4 linked regions of the Drosophila melanogaster genome follow. The protein of the gene in region 2 purifies or fractionates together with the protein of the main gene of each other region. This does not show direct contact. Each region holds a gene or a part of one and is shown on either strand. Other genes may lie near its edges. The genes, in order: PpV, Tap42, Pp4-19C and mts.

Region 1 (4,085 bases), on a different chromosome or scaffold from region 2:
CAACTGTTGGTCATTTATCGCTTGCTCTCAATGTTTTTTTTTTTTTCCGCTGACTGCACACAGCAGGAAAATATTGAAAATACCATTCAAATAGCCGAAGGTGTAATAATCTTTTTGCGTTTAATTGAGAATACAAAAAAAAAAACTCTGTGAGCCGAGGAATTTGTTAAAATATGAAGTCCAAGACTTTTTTTTTTTTAACCGATTGTTCGAAACTCTAGAATTTTTGGCACCGTGTTTGCAGCAAGATAAAGCCAAGAGGCTGTCCGCTGTCCGTTGTCCTTGTTCCGCCGTCCGTGTCCTTTGCGTCCGTGCAGGGGGCACATAATTATCAGCCACATCAGCCGCAGACGACAGGACTTTGACTTTTAGAGGGCGAGCGGAATTGGCGAAACGTAACGAAACGAAGTAAGAAAACAAGTTTAACTTAATTGTCAACATTGTGCCAGGCGGACACAAACAGCGACATACAGAGCGGCAAGGACAATGGAAGGATGCGAGCGGATTGGGGCCAGCATTGGGGGGGCAGGATGGCTGGATGGCTGAATGGAAAGCACTGGCAAGATGGCCAAAAGAGCACAAAAAGCAGCTGGGAGAACAAGCCCAAGTTGAATACCAAAACGGAAGGGCATAAAGTAACGCCACTAATGATGGAGCACGACATCTTCGCCGGGGGGAGAAAGAGAGAGTAAGAGAGTGAGAGTGATAGAGAGGAACGGAGAGTAGGTGGCAGAAAGAGATGGGTGGCGAGCACAACAGTTTCGATTTGCAAAACTAAAAGATATTGCATTTAATTCGATTCCACAATTAAATGCGAATACAAACAATTAATTCAATTATTTTCTATGAATATATGCTTAGCATCCTAACTTTGAATAAATTGCATATATTTTGTGCTTCGAAACCCGTGAAACGTTCATTTTTTTTTTTTTTTTTACCAATTTCCCTTGATTCGCGAATTGTCACCTTTATGGCACGTTTATTTTCCCAACTTCAGATCCAGCGAATGCGAAAAGTAAATGAAAGAAGCCAACACAATCAAATGGCAGCGTGCTAATGAGACTCTAAACAAGCTGCAGGGCCATTAACCCATGTGCCACCCCGTGCCGAAAAACGCATGCCAGCACGCTTCTCATAACCCTTAACACTTGCTGCCCGGAAAAATGAGCGGAGCTGCAAAACAAACAGCGAACAAGTAGCGTGGCGTGCGATGGCAATAAAATCTAAGAGCGTGATTATTTTCAACAAGCCAAAGAAAATATATATGTATATATATGTAAATGGGTTTGGGTTAAAAAATAAACGGATTTAAAAAGCTTTCATTGCGGACTAATTATGATTTGTGGCGGCTAAAGGCTAATTGCAACTAATTTCGCTTGCCTCCACAAAACCAAAGAAAACAATACAGAAAAACACAAAATCGACCGCCAAAGTAATTAAATATTTTGAATTTGAATTCAAATGTGTTAGCTATCGATAACATGTGACATTCTCGCTACGCAGTGTGTACACACCAAGTATACAGTTCTAATAAGAACGTCCCATGCGACTGGTGCTTGCATCGGCTAAACAAAAAATTGATGCACCATTTATCGATGGAAAACAAAAGCAAATAAAATACTCAACAATAGTATTTAAAATAAAAAGAATAGAAGAAACTTTAGATCAATTTTTTAGTACTCTAACCGTGGGCAGCAGTATAACCGTTGCTCGATAACCATTGAACACCAGCCAGTGTGACCGTAGGTGCGCAGATGGACGTGCAACCAATACTTATTTATTAACTTGTTTTAAGGCGATTTACCGTGGATTTCACAGGCAGCGGGCATCATGGGCGACGTGGACAAGTGGATAGAAGACGTGAAGAAATGCAAGTACCTGCCGGAGAACGAGCTGAAGAAGCTATGCGAGATGGTCTGCGATATCCTCCTGGAGGAGACGAACATCCTGCCCGTGAGCACGCCCGTCACCGTTTGCGGTGACATCCATGGCCAGGTAAGCGGTCATCTCCTCCGTCTTCGTCTCCTACGTCATTGCAATGTCCACTAACGCAATGCCATCGCACTCCACCCCCAAATTGCAGTTCTACGACCTGGAGCAGCTGTTCCGCACTGGAGGCCAGGTGCCGCATACCAACTACATATTCATGGGCGACTTCGTGGACAGGGGCTACTACTCGCTGGAGACATTCACCAGACTGCTCACGCTGAAGGCGCGCTATCCCAGCCGGATCACCCTGCTGCGCGGCAACCACGAAACGCGGCAGATCACCAAGGTGTACGGATTCTTTGACGAGTGCTTCAGCAAGTACGGCAATGCCAATGGCTGGAAATACTGCTGCAAGGTCTTCGATTTGCTTACCATCGCTGCCGTGAGTTGAACTATGGGATACTTCATGTGGACAACACCCTTTTAATCATTTACATATATGTTTACCCCACTGCCCCTAATGTACACAGATCATCGACGAGGAGGTGTTGTGCGTGCACGGTGGCCTGAGTCCCGAGATCATTACACTGGACCAGATCAGGACGATCGATCGCAACGGCGAGATACCGTACAAGGGTGCCTTCTGCGATCTGGTGTGGTCCGATCCCGAGGACATGGAGTACTGGGGCCAGAGTCCGCGCGGCGCTGGCTGGCTGTTTGGCCACAATGTGACCAAGGACTTTATGGCGATCAATAATCTGAACCTCATATGCCGAGCACATCAGCTGGTCAACGAGGGCATCAAGTATATGTTTGATGGCAAACTGGTGACCGTGTGGTCGGCGCCAAACTATTGCTATCGCTGCGGCAACGTTGCCGCCATTCTTAGCTTCGAAACGGCGGAGAAGCGGCAGACGAAGATCTTCCTGGCTGTTCCGGATGCGGAGCGTGTGATACCCAAGCAGAACACAACGCCCTACTTCCTGTAAAACGTTCTGATGTGATGCGATGTGAAGTGATGCAACGCAATACTATACCACATACCATACCACATACCGATCCAATACGATCCGCCCACTGTTCCGGCATCGTGGCTAATAATCATATACGCTTGTGGAGAGCAGAGCGGAGTGCAGCCTTCGACTGACTGATCCGTTTCATTTGACCACCCATGAACTCAACGCCTTAAACTCAAAACGTGCGCAACGAGCACCCCAAGCATAGCAAACACTCAGAACAGCAAACACAAGCCACACACACCACACACACACCTGTAACTTGTAATTTTCGTCTCTTTTTTTGTATGGCAAAAACACATATCTAATTCTTAAGAGCACAGTTAAAAAAAAACTTTGTTATTAGTTTCCGGCAAGTCCAAAGAGAGGGGAACACGTGAATTGATTTCTTTAAGTTGTATATCCAAGTATTGTATTTACTGATAACGGATGCTAATGGAAGCAAGAAGTATATAGAGATTCACTTTGTTATTTTGTATTCCAAACCTACATATTTATTTCTGTGAACAAACACAAAAATCATATACTTTGTACATTTTGTATTAGTAATGCTTTGAAGGAAATAAGAATAACTAAGAATAACCCAATTGTGTGATCCCGATCAAAACGATATGATTAAAACAAAAAAGACAATTCGAAATGCGTTGTCCGGTAATCAGTGGGAAAAACCAGGTGTCCCTTATTCCGCTCCCAAAATGTCCATCATCCGTCTCTGTCGTTTTCGCGACACGGCTCCGATATTCAAAGTTCCACTGAAATAATTTCGATTATGAGTTTCTTACATAAATATCATTTATTTCGTTTCGTTTTCGTTCATGAATCATTCTCATTCTCATGCTTTGCAACATCTCAACAATTGTGTTTTCATATATATTGGTTTGCTTTGCCCCAACATTTATTCTAGCGTCCCAACTCAAAAACAAATATGTATAAGTACTAGACTTTCTATTAGGGGCGAAAAAGAGGTAAATAAGTGAGTGACTTTCGCATTCTGGGGTCGGTCATCATCATGTGGCATTCATAATTCCTCGCAACTTGCTTTTCCATGGCACCTGGCCATGCTCACAGTGTTTTGGATACTTCTCTATTTGTATATATATATACGCGTGCGTTTCCGGGTCAACAATTACAAAAAAAAGA
Region 2 (3,512 bases):
CCTCCTGCTCGACCTGGATTTCGGCCGCCTCGGCGTTGCGCTTAACTGGCTTCTTGCGCGTCACCATTATCCGGCTAATTCAACTTTTAGTTGCGAAAAATAAGTGAGCTGTGTATATTGAATACGGTACGGCACGACCGCACGTGTTGCCGTTCGATGTTGCCAGATGTTGAAACGACATTTTCTCCAAATTTCGTCCAACAGCTCTAAATGCATGAGCTGTACTGAAAATGACAACAAAAACTCAAGCTAATGAAATAATTTTCAAAGAATAAAATAAAGAAAAAAAGAATAATAAAAAGAATATTTAAATTGCTAGTTTTGATACTTCATGAAACGCTTGCTTTATACATTTTAATACAATTTTATATATTTTTAGCCATTTATAGGTTGTTATTTTATAGCTACCAGCGCTGACTTCTTTACGGAAAGTGGCAACTCTCTTCCACAGCTGATAATTCGGTCTGCTTTTTGTAAATTTTGCTTGTCCAGCAAATTTAGTTAAATAATTCAAAGAAATCATGCCCGTGGTGAACGTGTCGGCTGCCGAGGAGTACCAGAAGTACATTAATGCGGATAAGACGACCGTAGCTCTATTCGCCGCCGAATGGGCAGAGCAATGCGGTCAGGTGAAAGACGCGCTGGAGGAGCTGGCCAAGATTACTGGCGAAAAACTGCAGTTCATCAGCCTAAACGCTGAACAATTTCCCGAGATTTCCATGAAACATCAGGTACGCTCGTATTTATTTTATGAAAATATAACAGTAGTTCCTCATTCATTTGCGATGCCACCAGATCGAGGCCGTGCCCACAGTCATATTCTTCGCCAAGGGCTCCGCCGTTGACCGTGTCGATGGTGTAGACATCGCCGCCATAAGCGCCAAATCCAAAAAGTTGGCCGAAAACGCAAGCAGCGCGGCGGCAACAGGACAAACGTTGGAGGAACGCCTAAAGGCCCTAATCAATACAGCTCCGCTGATGATATTCATGAAGGGCGACCGAAATGGACCGCGTTGCGGATTCTCCAAGCAGCTCATCGGCATTGTGAACGAAACCAAGTATGCAAATTGATCATCAGTTGTATTTGATTTCAAGTTATAAACGAAAATATCCTTCGATAGCTTGCCGTACGAGACATTTGACATCCTCGGCGACGAAGAAGTGCGTCAAGGCCTGAAAACCTACTCCGACTGGCCCACATATCCCCAGGTTTACGTCAAGGGTGAACTTATCGGCGGACTCGATATTATTAAGGAACTGCTGGCGAACAATGAGCTCGAGTCCACGCTAAAGGGCTAATTCCATCGGATTGCATCTACTCCTACAGACACCATAAACCAGAAACAAATTTTTAGCTAGATCCTTAGACTTTTTAATGGTTTAATAAAGGATTTTTGCTACATTCTGGTATTATTTTATTCATCGAAATTTTTAATAACAATTGTATTAAAGCAAATGTGCTATAGGTCATCCATAAGACATCTTACACGGGCTTCAATGGTGTCACCATAAATGTTTACAAACTTAACGACATAAATATAGCTAGAAATTTGTAAGAACTTTTTTATACACCAGCCCTGGTTTATCTGGTATTTTGCGTACCTTCATTTTGTAAACAGCTGTTTCGGCGTCGGCATCTTGCACATTATTTTCGCAATATTATTTATATTATTGAAAATACCCATTAACTATAAACTTATATCCAAATCTTTAAATGGCTGAGGGTAATACCGCTGGCGGAGAGGACCAAAAGCTGACGGACATCTTTCTAAAGGGCTGGAACATATTCGACGAGCTAGAAGTTACCGAACTGCCCTTCAATGGCAGCGAATTTCAGGTGTGTAATATTGAAGATCTTCATATATATGTAATAAAAACCAGCATTGAACGTTTACCACAACGTTTAGAACAAAGTGAAGACTGCAATGGGCCTTTTCGAGCAGGCCACCGTCATTGTGAACCAGGTTAGCATGTTCAGTGCCAACGAGTTGATCGACGAGGTGTCCACGGAATCGCTACCATTCATGCTGCTCCCTTACTTTCTGGGCAAGCTTACCACTAAGATCAACAGCCCCAATAACACACACTCCATAGAGCTGGGCGAGATTTACTTCAAGGACCACCTGCAGCGTTGCCAGGAGTATGATCTCTGTGCAGCGCCCAAATCTCAGGTGGCTAAGGCGGATAGCCAAGCGGAAAAAAGCGAGCAGCGCGAGCTGGTAGAGGCAGCCTTCAATAGAAACGACAAAATAGCCCAGTATCGCCGGATGAAGGAGATTGACGAGTATATGGCCAGAATGCGCGATGCAGTCAAGAACAAAACGGTCGACGATGAGGATAAACGTGTCTTTTTCCTCAAGTATTTGGACAAGAGTATAATAGACTCCAAGCAGGAATTAGAAACATTGGGCGTAATGAAGCAGCTGGCCCAGATGCGCCTTGCCCGATTGGCTGGTGGCGAATCCGACAACGAAGTGGATTCGTTCCGTCCACCGAATCAAAATCAATCTTCTGCATCGTCCACCTCCCGCGGTCATGGTCACAGCCACGGACCCGGACACCACCACCATCATCAGCAGGCCGCTAAGCCAAAGCCCTTGCAGCCCTTCATCATAACACGTAATGCCACCCAGAAGGCGGTTTTCGGCTTGGGATACCCCAGTTTGCCCATTATGACTGTTGATGAATTCTACCAGCAGCGCGTCGACGAGGGCATCTTTCCTGATGAGGAGAAGGTTGCCAAGATGAATCAGGCACAGGCCATCGCGGCCGCCCGGGATCCCAACGAAAAAGAGGACGAGGAGAAGGCCGTTGAGGAGCTACAGGCGGAGCAGGATGATCCCGAGTATATAGACCGCATGAGGCGCATGGATGAATACAAGGATGTGGTGCGTCGCGGTGACGGCAACCGTCATAACCGTAGTTAAGGAACTCAAAATTTATGTATTTTTTTAAAACCCAATAAAATGGTATAACCGCAAGACTGGTTTTAAGTCAGTATATTCAAAAAATAATTCTAGTTTCTAAATTTATTTATAAATCCTAGGGATGCGCTATTGATAAAATAAAAATTGTTTTCTTTTTTATTGAATTGACAATATATACAGTAAATAAATAGTTAGAATAGTTCCACTGTTGCAGTATTGGTAGGCGTTTGGCTGTAATCGCGCATTTTGCAGCACTGATTGTCACCACCAGTAACAAAAACAAAAATCTCAAGCACAAGTTAAATTTTTGTGAGTTGCTACACAAAAAACGTAAAAGAGAAGACAGTTCTCTCGAAATATTGATAGATCAACAAAGATTAAAGTGAGGTGTGTTAAAATACAGCAGATACGTGGTAGTATCAAGTGTTAACACTTTTCGTACTCTGCAGCAACCCAAAAGCAGAATGTCAGTACGAGACTTTATCAAGGGTCTGCCCATACACGATTCGAGCAATTTTACCCATTTGAGCAACGAACATGGAATTCGAACGTCGCAGAAGCGTGCCTCCGTCTACCTGCCCACCG
Region 3 (5,257 bases), on a different chromosome or scaffold from region 2:
TCTGGATGAAGGATTAGCAGACGCTGTCTCTGTGTTCGCCGCTCGTCGTCCTCCTCCTCGTAGAGAAGTCCTTCTGCCTCCGGTTCGTCGACGTCTTCGTTTTGCGCTCGTCTGCCGGTGAAGTCCTCTTCGCGTATATAGCGCGGGCTGTAGTTCCCTGCCTGGTAAAGACGCACTGTTTTACGCAGCTCATTCAGGGGATCCTCCTCGTCTTCGGGTGAGCCCTCCTCAACCTCCGGGTCCTCTGCGTCCTGGGTTTCCATCTCCTCTTCCTTGACTTGTGGGGCCACCTTCTCTTGCAACGTCTCATTATCGTTTTCTCGCTTGAGCAGCGACAGCTTCTCGCGCAATAAGGCTTGATGGCGATCTCGCAGTCGAGCTCTGGCCATGTGTGCCTTGAGTTGCGAGAGCAGGCTTTCCCAGTAGCTAATGTCGACGCCATCCGCTCGCCCACTGATCTTGGCCTCGATGCGGTGCCGCATCTCCTCCAGCTGCTGAGCATTCTTCCCCCTAAAAATATCGGCCACATCCTTTACCACCGCCTGGTGGATGCCATCCCGGCGTTGATTGAGCGAACTATTCTCCGCCTCCAGTTTCTGTTGGCGCTGCAGTTCATCCTGCACAATGGTGATCATATCGTTCCAGAAATCGATGTGCTTGCCCTGCTCCAGCTCTTCGTATACCTTAATGTCGACCAGCAGGTCCTCCAGTTCTTCCACGGGCAGGCCGTTTAGCAGCACATAGGGCTCGTGCATCTGCATCTCGAGGCACTCTTCGAGCGGCTCATTCCCAGCGGCCACATATTGGGCGAGAAGATCGATGGGCTTGGCACGTCCATCTCGGATCCGGATTTCACTGCGCAAGCGTGCCTGCTCTAAGTGAAACTGATCTTCCTGTCGCTGCCACTCGCGGAACTGCACCGCCTCCTTGGCGCGCTGCTGCATCATAAGATCATCCTCGCGCACCTGCCGCTCCAGCTCCCTCTCCTGACGCCGTTTCTTGACCTTCTCCAGCTCCCTGCGATTTTCCAACTGCTTTTGCAGAGACAGTACCTCTACGGTTTTGGTGGAGAGATTTGATAGTCCCTCTACCTCCAGCTTTTTGCCCCAGTGGAAGGTGGAGGTGAGATTGGAGTCCCCGAACGGGTTGTCTTCGTTGGAGTACGTCTGGTACTCGTTGTCCCAGCCCATTCGTTCGCGACGCCGCTGCTCCTTGGCCTGCTTTTCGCGCAGGCGACGGGCGCGCTTCTCCTCGGGCGTTTCATGGGCCTTCAGCTCCTCCTTTTTACGCTGACGATCCTTCTGCTCGACGAGGCGACGGGCTTCCAGCGTCTGGAGAAGCTTCATCGGGCTTTTTACCAGCGGCGAACGAGGGGCACCGGGCACCGAGCTGGACGTCGAACTCGACGGGGATGAGCTGGAGGAAGAGGACCGGCGTCTCCGGCTTTTGTGCTCCCGCTTCTTGTCCCTGCTTTTGTCCTTTTCCCTTTCCCTGCGCTGGTCACGTTCCTTGTCTCTGTGATCTCTGTGGTCACGATCCTTTTCCCGCTCGCGTTCACGATCCCGATCCCTGTTCCTGCTGCTCCTCGGATCCGGACTGCGATGATCCCGCCTCTCCCGACTGCGGCTGCGATGCCGGTGCTTGGATTTCTCCTTGGGCATCTTTTTTAATGAGTTTTTCGGGATAAAACTTGTGAAATAAAATATAAACAATGCTAGCGTTGCCAGATGGAGAAAACCAACCCAGATAGCCACTAATAATTGCAAAAGTGCTATCGATATAAGCATTATAACATTAACACATCTCCCTCTTGCCGATAAGTCGATTTATTTTTCCAAGGGTTAGTTTTTACAAACTTTAAATTTTAAAATTTCGGCTGCAGCGTATTATAAATACACAAAAATAAATAATTTATCGATGGAATCCTTGGTGCAGTGTAAAAGGCTTTTTAGGGTCTTCGTGGTAATGCCCACTATCGAAACTGAAGACTCGATGTGTCATTGCAAGTGCCATTACTCAATATATCGATACAAACGCAAGTAGCCAATCCAGCTCTTCGCAGAAACCCGGTTGGCAAAAACGTTTATGTGCATTTTTTGTATTCAATCGCCAACACGAGAGCCGAGCTACCAGCAAAAGGATTGTCCAGATAGCCCGCCACTGCGCTGAGTAAGTAGTGATTCTGGAAAAGTGTCGGGGAAGACAGGAAAAACACGGCAGACGGTGAAAATCGCGCGCGGCAAAAAGGCCAGCGACAAGCCAGACGCACACACACACGCGAGCATCCGCACAAAGCCGACGCACACAGACGCATGCAGGCGAACTCAAAAACCGAAACACAAACAAAAGGATGGTTATTAGTCGACTATTAGTTACCTTACTTCCAGTTCAGCAGCAACTGAAAATCTGAACTAATCTCTAATCCAGAAATTCTGGATTTAAAACAAATCCAACCCTATCCACTGTCAAATACACGTTTCGTATTTGAAAGAAATGTGTATGCATTCACTTAAAACACAGCCATCTAAAACAGCTAAAAGAAGTTATATCGAGAATATAGCCTCTTTTCTCGTTGGTTGGCTTTTCATTGCGAAATAGCCTCATGGACTATCTCAACAAGTGGAATAGCTGGGAACGCGAATGTGTGTGTTTATATTATTTGCCCAATCCGTAAATATAGTTGAATCGTCTTGATTCTTAGATGTGGGGGATGCAGCTATACAGATGCACTTTATGGCCTCTAAAACGCTAGACTTGCTGTGCACGACTAGAGTAGTACCCTATCCTATCACTCAAGCGACCAAAAATTTATAGTATTTCTCTTATGCAACCTTGTGGCTACCTGAAAACCACCCGCGCCAGTTTGGTGAACGACTAACAACGCTGTCCCCGCCCTGTCAACGCCTGCAGTCCGATTCACCGCTTCCCCGTCGCCTCGGCTGCCGCCATCCTCCGGGTGAAGATGTCCGACTACAGCGACCTGGACCGACAGATCGAGCAACTGAAGCGCTGCGAGATCATCAAGGAGAACGAGGTGAAGGCCCTGTGCGCCAAAGCCCGCGAGATCCTGGTGGAGGAGGGCAACGTGCAGCGTGTGGACTCGCCAGTGACCGTGTGCGGCGACATCCACGGTCAGTTCTACGACCTGAAGGAGCTGTTCAAGGTTGGCGGCGATGTGCCCGAGAAGAACTACCTGTTTATGGGCGATTTCGTGGACCGCGGCTACTATAGTGTGGAGACGTTTCTGCTGCTGTTGGCGCTGAAGGTGCGCTATCCGGACCGAATCACGCTGATCCGGGGCAACCATGAGTCGCGCCAAATCACACAGGTCTACGGCTTTTACGATGAGTGCCTGCGCAAGTACGGATCGACGGCCGTGTGGCGGTACTGCACGGAGATCTTTGACTACCTCAGCCTTTCGGCGATCATCGACGGCAAAATATTCTGCGTGCACGGCGGGCTGTCGCCGTCCATCCAGTACCTCGACCAGATTCGCAGCATCGACCGGAAGCAGGAGGTGCCGCACGACGGGCCCATGTGCGACCTGCTTTGGAGCGATCCGGAGGACCAGACTGGCTGGGGCGTGTCGCCGCGCGGCGCTGGCTATCTCTTTGGCTCGGACGTGGTCTCCCAGTTCAACCGCACGAACGATATCGACATGATTTGCCGTGCACACCAGTTGGTAATGGAGGGCTTCAAGTGGCACTTCAACGAAACCGTCCTGACCGTCTGGTCGGCACCCAATTACTGCTATCGGTGAGTCAGCCTCCTGTGCAATTTCGAACTTGTGTTGTTAACTCTGGAATCTCTCCACATGCAGCTGCGGCAATGTAGCTGCCATCCTGGAGCTGAATGAGTACCTGCACCGCGACTTCGTCATCTTTGAGGCAGCTCCGCAAGAGAGTCGCGGCATTCCCTCGAAGAAGCCTCAGGCGGACTACTTTCTCTAAGACGCTTCCGTTCCTGACAATCCGGTGGAACGGAGTCGGCACAGGATGCGGGTGCCGACTGGTAGCTTACATAAATCATCTAGGGAATAGAAATAGAAACTGCCAGCCTGCAAAAGCGAAGCGAACGCGAATAGCAACTGATGGTGTAAAACAAAAAATATGTAACATAAACGTAAGCTAGGGTAGAGCTGCCGGACACAGGTCCACGTTCAGTTAGACTTATTTGCTTTTTTGGTTCAACTAAGATATTTAAATTTTTTTTACCATCTGTTTACCTCTACCTGTGTTTAATCAGGCTATTTGCGCGATCTTTTAATGGCTGTTTTCAAAACATGTAGAGATCAGCCATGCAGATCGCGTATGACCTGTGCACCTCATCTAGCTACTAACTAATAGGTTTAATGACCATAGCCCAAGACCCTGAGAATTCGCCTTGCGTAGACGGACCGCAATCGGAGCCGCCGTCTTCTCGACACGAATTCCCTGGGCTTGGGCAGCATACTATACTAGGAGCCCAAGTTGAGCAAATAGATATTTTTACCGACAGATTGCGTTAAGTCGGCTAAGCTAGGACATATTTAGGGGAGCCGAGAGCGAACGCGCATCCCTGGCTGGGTCCCTTCTCCGCAGGATATCACCTGGAGAAACCCAGGTACGAAGAACATCGTGCATTAATAAATAGTGAGTAAGAATCTTTTAAATATGCCCCAGATTGGGAGATGATATACAAAAAAATGTACTTGTATTTATAATAATAAAGATTGTAATATAATCGTCGAAATTGAGCAAGAATTTTTTATTAGTAAATTATGGGTCCCGAGGAGTCTTGGAGGATAACCACACCCATACGAATCCCCCTTCACAATCCAACAAACAATCAAGCCTGCAGTTTCTCAGTTTATCAAGTACTTAATTCATAGTATACACATAAAAAAAAAAGATGGTTATATTCCAGAAGGGCGCTTGTGATACAGTAACGGGGGGTCGTCATGGGTCTCAAATCTGTTCTCAGTGCTCCTCCAGCTCGAGTCCATGCTCCTTCATTTGCTCGTAAATGCATTCCTCGTAGGCGAAGGCAGCGTCGCAACTGAAAATGGCAGCATGATTATAGTCCGGATTTGAGCCAACAGCTTCCGGCGAGCACTACTCACTGATCCTCGGGTGTCTCGATGGCCTCGCACTTGGCCACCACCTCGGCGGGAGCGTCTTCCTTCTCTGCATCGTGCTTGCTCATGACCTTGACCAACTCGATGGCGTGTTCCTTGTTCAGCTTACCGGATTCATCCATCTGCAATGGGAGGGAGAAT
Region 4 (7,963 bases), 5.5 Mb from region 2:
CAGACGCGGATGGTGTTGTCGGAGTAGCCGGCGAACAGAGTCTGGCCGTCGGTGGACCAGGCCAGGGACAGGCACTGGGGCTGATCGGCCTTCGACGTGGGCGAAACGACCTCGGGGCGCAGCTCCTCAACGGTCTTCTTGCATGCCAGATCCCAGATCTTGATCGAGGGTCCGTAGGCCACGCACAGCCAGTAGCGGTTGGGCGAGAAGCACAGGGCGTTGATGATGTCGTTGTGCTCCAGAGTGTACAGGTTCTTGCCGTCATTGAGGTCCCACAGCAGGGCCTTGGAGTCCTTGCCACCTGAGGTGCACAGGGAGCCATCGGGCGAGACGGTCACCGTGTTCAGGTAGCCGTTGTGGCCGTGGTGGTTGTTCTTCAACTTGCAGTTAGCCAAGTTCCAGACCTTGACGGTGCGATCCCAGCCGCAGGACACGATGATCGGGTTGGAGTGGTTGGGCGAGAAGCGCACGCACGACACCCAGTCGGTGTGGCCATCCTCCTGGATGGTGAACTTGCACTCAGCCAGGGTGTTCCACAGCTTGATGGTCTTGTCCCGAGAGCCGGACACGATCTGACGGTTATCGGCCGAGAAGGCAACCGACAAAACGTCCTAGAAAGCGAACAAGCATTTGACGATTAGCTAATGGTATTGGTATGGTTTTCATAAAAATAATATATTTACTGGATATTTCACTGACCAACTGAATGGGCATAGTCCCAACTCAATTAGTCAGTGAACGGAATCCAGATGGGTTTCTTGCAACTAATTAGGAATCAATGGGTATCAGAGATTGTTTGCCTACTTACGATGGAGCTTCAAGCAATTTATAGCCGAGACTCGAGCGAAGGGTGAAGCGTACGTCGTACAGATGTCAACCAGTAATTCTGCCTCGCATAGGCGCAATATATATTTTTTCGATTTGTACGCGGCAAAGGCGGGCCTAACCTCACTCCTAACCTTACATTTAGCCTTTTGCCGGTACAGATCGGTTCAAAATCTCAGTTCCCTAAACGAACTAAATGCAATTGGAATCTTATCCCACCTTAGTGTGTCCCTCGAAGCGACGGGTGGTCTTGCCGGCGGCCAAATCCCACAGGCGAAGGGTCTGATCCCAGGATCCGGACAGGGCGTAGTTGCCATCGGAGGAGAGCACCACGTCGCTGATGAAGTGCGAGTGTCCGTAGAGACGCTTCTGGGGGTAGCCGTAGTTGGTGTCCTCGTCGCGGGTCAGCTTCCACACGATCAGGGTCTTGTCTGCGAATCGAGATGGTGGCCATTAATATACGCACGTGCTACCAGATAAATCCGAAGAATTTCAATGGCGATTACTTACCACGGGAGGCCGAAATTATGGTGTCGGGATCCTTGGGGTTGGTGGCGATCTGGGTGACCCATCCATTGTGGCCAATGAGGGTACCGCGCAATTGCAGGGTCTCGGACATCTTGAGTTTATATTATTTGCTACGGAGCGCGAAGGAAACACGTCCAAAGGCGCTGCAAGCTGGCAGAAAAAGAGGCAGTTCCGGTTCCAGTGCTCGCTAAGATGCCAACTGTCAGCGAGCGTTCAGTGTTGGACAGGACAAAACTATCGATAGTTTGAATTTTCTGTTACAAATAATACGTGTAAAATGTAACGTCAAATAATAATATCAAAAACTTTAAAATATATATAAAAAAAATAAATACTTTTACACCAAGTATTAATATTATTATATCTAAAGAACCCCAGAAATATTGAAGTTTAGTTTTAAAACAAATTGTGCTATTATTTAAGAAATAATCGACGCTAATGCACATCTATGAAAAGACTACTAAAGGATTTTAAAACAATCCCAATATCTTGTTGCCCAAATGCCTATGTACATACTTTTATTTTGTCACTATCACGTAATAATGTAAAAAAAACGGTGAGCGTTGATCCCACTTTATTTTCTAGTTTTACTTGGTAACTGTTGGCCAAATAGTAAGGATACCATCCACAAGTTTTAGTCGGTATTTTTGTAGAAATGTCAAGCATGCATCGCTAATCGATACACACACACACAGCGCGTTCTTAAGCGTTTCGCGGCAATCGGTCACACCGAGGGCAGTCTTTCCCTTCGTATATCGTGTCGTCGTCTCTTTTGTGAACAAAAAATACGAAGAAAATCGCCCAAATCGAGTTGATTCGATTGGCAATTGTGTGGAGATAAACGAGTGAATACGCGGTTGGCAATCGAACGCAACAGTAGTTGCTAATTTTCCTGCACCCCTGAGTTATAATAAAAGCCGTCAAAATTGAATCGACAAAGATTGACGAGACTTTTTCTTCCACCACAACTGCGATGGAGGATAAAGCAACAACAAAAGATCTTGATCAATGGATTGAGCAGTTGAACGAATGCAATCAGTTGACAGAGACACAAGTTCGCACCCTCTGCGACAAGGTAAGGCCCGGTCCTTGCCCATTTTCCCCATGCGAATTAGGAGATGTTATAAAAATAATTTTCGTCATTGCATGCGAGCGAGCGATTTTTTTTTGCAAATGGTGCTCCAACGCTGCGTGTCTCTGGCCCTCTCGCTCTTTCCAATGGGGAGAGGCGCTGAGCGGAGAGCGCGAGAGCATGATTCATGTCGTGCCCTCTTGCTCGCACAGTAGCGGCGGCTTGCGTCGCCATATTGGAATATTGGTAAATTCCAACAGCCAAGCGCCGCATTGCCGCGCACAAGTGCGAGCGGGACAACGGGACGGGCAAGTGCGTGCGTGAATGCGACAGCTAGAACAGCGCTTTGGTCTAATGGGCTAAACCTGGGCAAAAAGAGATATTTCTTTTTGTATTATTGTACAATTTGATTGTTTAACTAAAGTGCATTGTGCGTGTTTAATGTTGTTGTTATTGTGTCCACCGGAAACTGAGCACCCCCGCTCCGTGCAACCTCATGCGCGTTTTGTCGTTGCTGAGTAAATATTACTTAATGTTTTTGTGCGTCGGTGTGTGCGCGCCCCTAGAATATGTATCTATGTACCGTCGTATCTCAATTCTAGAATAATGCACTTGCATTGGTGTTTGTGTTCCTTTTTTTATGACCAACCATGTTCAATTAAACACTTTTGATATCAATTGTTTTTAATTTGCCGATTTTACCGTTCATCAGGCGCGTCGCGCACACAAACAAACAGACAAGCAAAAAGAGTGCAAGAGAGGGAGAGAAAAAGAGAGGGTGAACAGATAACGATTCATTGATTTAGGAGTAAGTGGGGTTATGTTTGCGTCACCCAAATATTTGTCAGTGTTCCCATTAGAATCTTGAATCTCCGTTCTCCCTCCGAGAAGAACGTTCTTCGCTCTTCTCGGGTGCGTCTTCTGCGGCCTCTCTCCATCCTTCCCGTTGCTACGAAAAGAAAAGCGGAGAGTACGCGGAGAGAGCACAAGCTGCATCAGTGTTTGTGCATGCATCTGTATGGGTGCGCTGGCCTCGTCATGAGTTCAAAAATTATTTTTCTTTTTTTTTTTTTTTCGATTTCTGGCCAAGCGGAAGCAACAGCCTCCAAGGTAATGCTGTGCATATGGCAAAAAATCTAATTGGCTCACGCACAAATCGCTCATTTGCGCCGCCGGATTCTACCCCCGGAACTTGTTGTCATGTCCCATTTCGTCAGCTGATAAATATAAGAATTCGCAAAGAACACGGCGGAATGGTCAAAATAAATGTGCAATTTTTGTTTGCTCATTTTGGCACATTTATGTTTGTAAAAACCGGTTTTTTTGATGCTGTATATTGACGCCCATCGGGAATTTTTGAATCGACCTTCATATTTTATTTTACTAAAGACGATAGAATACTTTCCAGAATCGTGAATTTGTTATGTTTATACGGACAACTTTTTATCGTACGTTCATCTTATCTCAACTTATTAAAAAGCTTTGCTTCCTTTGTTTTGATTTTCATACAGCTTATATTAGCAACTTAAACTTGTTTGCAACTGACGCAAAATTCGATGAGAAAATAGTTGAGGTTCTTCGCTTGTTGACCAAATCTTGACGGATAACCTTGGCCTTTGACAAGGTTTTATCATCCGCACATGCGGATCACTTTCGGTTTTCTCAGTACTTTCTGTTTCGCAGATATTCTGTCATGTCATTCACCATTCACCGAATTATGGCAGGTGAAAAAATAGAACATCAAAGTTTCCATATTACTTTCATTTGGTTAACTATTTACACACAAACGTAACAAAAATGTTTTGTAATTTCCGGAAATTTTGCTACATGTTTATGTTTTTCTTATAGGAAGTAGCAATGTTTAGGTACACAGTTTTATAGGGTTTTGCGGGAAGCTATTTTCAGAATTACCCAAGAGATTGAGTTTTGATGCCATTAAAATTTCTTGTGGGATGTTTAAAGAGAACAAGTGATATTTATTTCCCTCGATTCTCTGTAAAAAAACGCATGCACTTATCCAATATATTTGTTTTAATTTCTCTTCTAGTTACAAGCTATTTTTAGAGTACACTTTGAGTGTTGGCGTTGAGTCATTAAGTATAGTGAATAATGTACAAAGTACTAATCGTTTTATTTATCTTTTCTGACCCTGGAAACGATTTGGGCTAGATTATGTTAATCAGTATTTTAATATTGGTATTCAAAGTTGTTTATTCGGTTATTCGAATAGGGAGGTAACATTAAAACGTATCTCCCTAAAAATATCCATAAATAAATTGCTGATTGGTCTACTGTTTCCATTTCTTTACAGGCCAAGGAGATTCTCTCCAAGGAGTCCAATGTGCAGGAGGTAAAATGCCCGGTGACAGTGTGCGGAGATGTCCACGGTCAGTTTCACGACCTCATGGAGCTCTTCCGGATAGGCGGCAAGTCTCCGGACACCAACTACCTGTTCATGGGCGACTACGTGGACCGTGGATACTACTCCGTGGAGACCGTGACCCTTCTGGTGGCCCTGAAGGTTCGCTATCGCGAGCGCATCACCATCCTGCGCGGTAACCACGAGTCGCGCCAGATCACACAGGTGTACGGCTTCTACGACGAGTGCCTGCGCAAGTATGGCAATGCCAACGTTTGGAAGTACTTCACGGATCTGTTCGACTACTTGCCACTGACGGCACTCGTCGACGGGCAGATCTTCTGCCTGCACGGAGGCCTCAGTCCCTCGATCGACAGTCTGGATCACATTCGGGCCCTCGATCGCTTGCAGGAGGTTCCGCACGAGGGTCCCATGTGCGATCTGCTCTGGTCCGATCCCGATGACAGGGGTGGCTGGGGAATCTCGCCTCGTGGCGCCGGTTACACCTTTGGCCAGGTGAGTGTTGTCTGCATGTTGGCTATTTCTCAATAAAATTCGGAGCTGATTTGCCTAGCTTGGATACTTGGAAATTTATTCTTTAATCACATTGTAAAATTGTTAAGTGAAATACATCTGAAGACCCGATTAAAACTAAGCTGAACAAAAATTGTCTGCTCAAAAGCATGCAAATATATTCTAGATAAATTTTTTATTGATCTTAATAGGAAATTTTATCGGGGCATGCACTTGATGAAAATCAATAATCAGTAATCGAAGTCTACTGCTGATATAGGCCCAACTGATAACGCAATCAATGGAAAGAGCTTTCGTTATAAATTGTTTTGACATTTCAAACCGTCAACTACAAAACAAATTTTAACTATCCAAATCGAATTTCATTGAGAAAGAGCCAATTACTTCTATAAGCATTTTTACTAATATTTCCATTTTATTTGAAGGATATTTCGGAAACCTTTAACAACACAAACGGCCTGACACTGGTGTCGCGCGCCCATCAGCTGGTGATGGAGGGCTACAACTGGTGTCACGATCGCAATGTGGTCACAATATTCTCAGCGCCAAACTATTGCTACCGCTGTGGCAACCAAGCGGCTCTTATGGAACTGGATGATTCACTTAAATTTTCATTGTGAGTGGCAATTCGCTTGAGCTGCCTTTAAATGCGGCATGTCTGACTAATCTAATCGTTTGCATTTATTTTAGCCTACAATTTGATCCAGCACCCAGGCGCGGGGAGCCTCATGTTACGCGAAGAACACCCGATTATTTCCTTTAAGCTGGATTGCTCGCACCTACGCAGCTTACATTTACACATATTACATCGCATTATAACAACAAGAAGAACCGAAACAATATATAATATATACAAATCCAACCAGCAGCAACAAAATAAACAAAATGGCAAGTGCTGTCGAAAAAAAAACTACCATAAAAAACAACCCAAAACTAAAAACCTCGATGCATTTGTTTTGTGGAGGTCGTTTTAAACAGAGAGCAGTGGAAGAGATATTGTATAAACAAAGAAAAAAAAAGTAACCATAACAGTCGAGAACACAAAAATGCATTGAACAGTTATTGTTGTTGGCCACAGTTTAAAAGAAAAGGAAAAAACCGGAAATGTCGCCAGCGGGGGCGGCAGGCAGAAAATTTATATCAAAGATAAAGGGGAGGAGCAGAAGGAGAAGCAGTATACAGAAATGATACAATCCAATCGAACCTACCAACCAACCCAGAAACCAAGCAACAAAACCGCAAGCAACAAGAAGAACTACAACTACTTAGCTAAATTTGTTAATTTATAAAAATAACGAACTAAGCGTCGCAGCAGAAAGCCAGGGAGCAGGAGTGATGGATGGATGGACTCATGGATTATGACGTGATGTGTGTGTGGGCGGAAGGGGCTGACAAAGGACTAAACGGGACGAAAGGACGAACGCCAGGACGTAGCAGCATAAGCAAGCAGCAGCGGTAGCAGCAGCAGAAGCAGAAGCAGACGACCCACGACCGACAAAGCAGGAAGATAACGATGAAGCAGCAGCAAAAAAGTAGGAGCAGTATGTGGCAGGAGCAGCAGCGAACGCCATTGCGATGGGGGAAGCGCGGGGCGGGCCAGCGATTTATATAAAAACAAAAATTATAAAAAAGAAAATAAGGAAATACAACAAATTTAATATTACTGATTAAAATTAAATAAAAAAAAGCGAATAAAACTATTAAAAAACAAACAAAAAAGCAAAGAAAAATGATTAAAAAAAATTCATTATCAATTAAGTTCATATGTAACTTTAATAATAATAAAAGAAAGAAAAAAAAAACAAACAAACAATTCCCACCTGCCGACGAAGAGAGCCATCGAAGAGCGCGCGTTCAAGGGAGAAAGTCCTTTAAGAGAGACCCATGCGAACGATTTTGGTTTTTCGTTCTGGCAATGACGCTCCCTTTTGGCCTGCGGGCTCCTTTGGTAGTGTGTATGCGAACATGGCCAAGTTAACACGAGGCCACCACGACGAGCGGAAGTCGAGCCTCAAACGGGCCACCTAATTGAGACCACAAAGGAGGCGATATGGGTGTGGGGGAGGTGATATATGGATGGATGGCAGAGGGCAGATAGAAGGGACGGAGGTCGTGGTGCCAGCCAACCAATGATGCCCAAGTCAAAATCTAAATCAGAGCCGGGCTGCCTTTGATTCCCAGCGAAAGCGAAAGCAAAAATCTTGCCAACTTTGTATAAATTTTTGCATATTTTAGCAGCCGCCCACACGAACTGTCAAAAGTCATGTACAGTGGTCGCTCTCTATTGTTTCTGTTTACAAAGTATTTTGGAAACTATTTCGATTGGATTTGATGTTCCTGATAATTTAGTTGGTTATTTAACTTTAGCATACGAATGAAAAGTATATTAAGAGCAAGAAAGTAAACGATATATAAATAATAAACATTTGGCAATAGTAGAAACCCTAGAATATATGGATTATTCTGAGATAAGCAGTTCGTGCACCGCCAGTTGGCACTGTATCCACATGAGTTTTGGTCTGGATGAAAATCTAAATTTGAGAACATGCTGGATCGAGGATGGGGACTCTCAAGTGCCCAAGAACTTGGCGAGCAAACAACCATACCCATACGTACACCTACCGAGACTTGTCATCTATCATGCC

Evidence for each region.
Region 1: the proteins of Tap42 (region 2) and PpV purify together in Drosophila melanogaster (affinity purification with western blotting, with the first as the bait; one study listed by BioGRID). This does not show direct contact.
Region 3: the proteins of Tap42 (region 2) and Pp4-19C purify together in Drosophila melanogaster (affinity purification with western blotting; 2 studies listed by BioGRID, with this or other methods). This does not show direct contact.
Region 4: the proteins of Tap42 (region 2) and mts purify together in Drosophila melanogaster (affinity purification with western blotting; 3 studies listed by BioGRID, with this or other methods). This does not show direct contact.

Annotation. Positions count from the first base shown.
Region 1 is NC_004354.4:6,370,562-6,374,646, reverse strand, and holds PpV (protein phosphatase V), read left to right. Parts: upstream 1-1,731; 5' UTR 1,732-1,830; coding exon 1,831-1,995; intron 1,996-2,083; coding exon 2,084-2,371; intron 2,372-2,459; coding exon 2,460-2,918; 3' UTR 2,919-3,582; downstream 3,583-4,085. UniProt on the Drosophila melanogaster protein: May be involved in controlling cellularization or in regulating transcription of the genes involved in this process.
Region 2 is NT_033779.5:13,366,010-13,369,521, forward strand, and holds Tap42 (Two A-associated protein of 42kDa), read left to right. Parts: upstream 1-1,607; 5' UTR 1,608-1,714; coding exon 1,715-1,837; intron 1,838-1,907; coding exon 1,908-2,927; 3' UTR 2,928-3,012; downstream 3,013-3,512. Other genes in the region: Nnp-1, read right to left, coding at 1-67; Grx3 (glutaredoxin 3), read left to right, coding at 522-731, 796-1,058, 1,122-1,299; CG31855 (uncharacterized protein), read left to right, coding at 3,392-3,512.
Region 3 is NC_004354.4:20,420,558-20,425,814, reverse strand, and holds Pp4-19C (protein phosphatase 19C), read left to right. Parts: upstream 1-1,812; 5' UTR 1,813-2,169; intron 2,170-2,808; exon of another isoform or gene 2,809-2,862; 5' UTR 2,863-2,962; coding exon 2,963-3,756; intron 3,757-3,820; coding exon 3,821-3,950; 3' UTR 3,951-4,728; downstream 4,729-5,257. Other genes in the region: cactin, read right to left, coding at 1-1,661; Obp19d (Odorant-binding protein 19d), read right to left, coding at 4,959-5,037, 5,102-5,238. UniProt on the Drosophila melanogaster protein: Protein phosphatase that regulates many processes such as microtubule organization at centrosomes. The probable PP4 complex Pp4-19C-PPP4R2r-flfl (PPP4C-PPP4R2-PPP4R3) is required to prevent caspase-induced cell death (in vitro).
Region 4 is NT_033779.5:7,825,726-7,833,688, forward strand, and holds mts (microtubule star), read left to right. Parts: upstream 1-1,924; 5' UTR 1,925-2,326; coding exon 2,327-2,428; intron 2,429-4,736; coding exon 4,737-5,300; intron 5,301-5,743; coding exon 5,744-5,934; intron 5,935-6,008; coding exon 6,009-6,081; 3' UTR 6,082-7,851; downstream 7,852-7,963. Other genes in the region: Rack1 (receptor of activated protein kinase C 1), read right to left, coding at 1-611, 1,045-1,256, 1,336-1,444.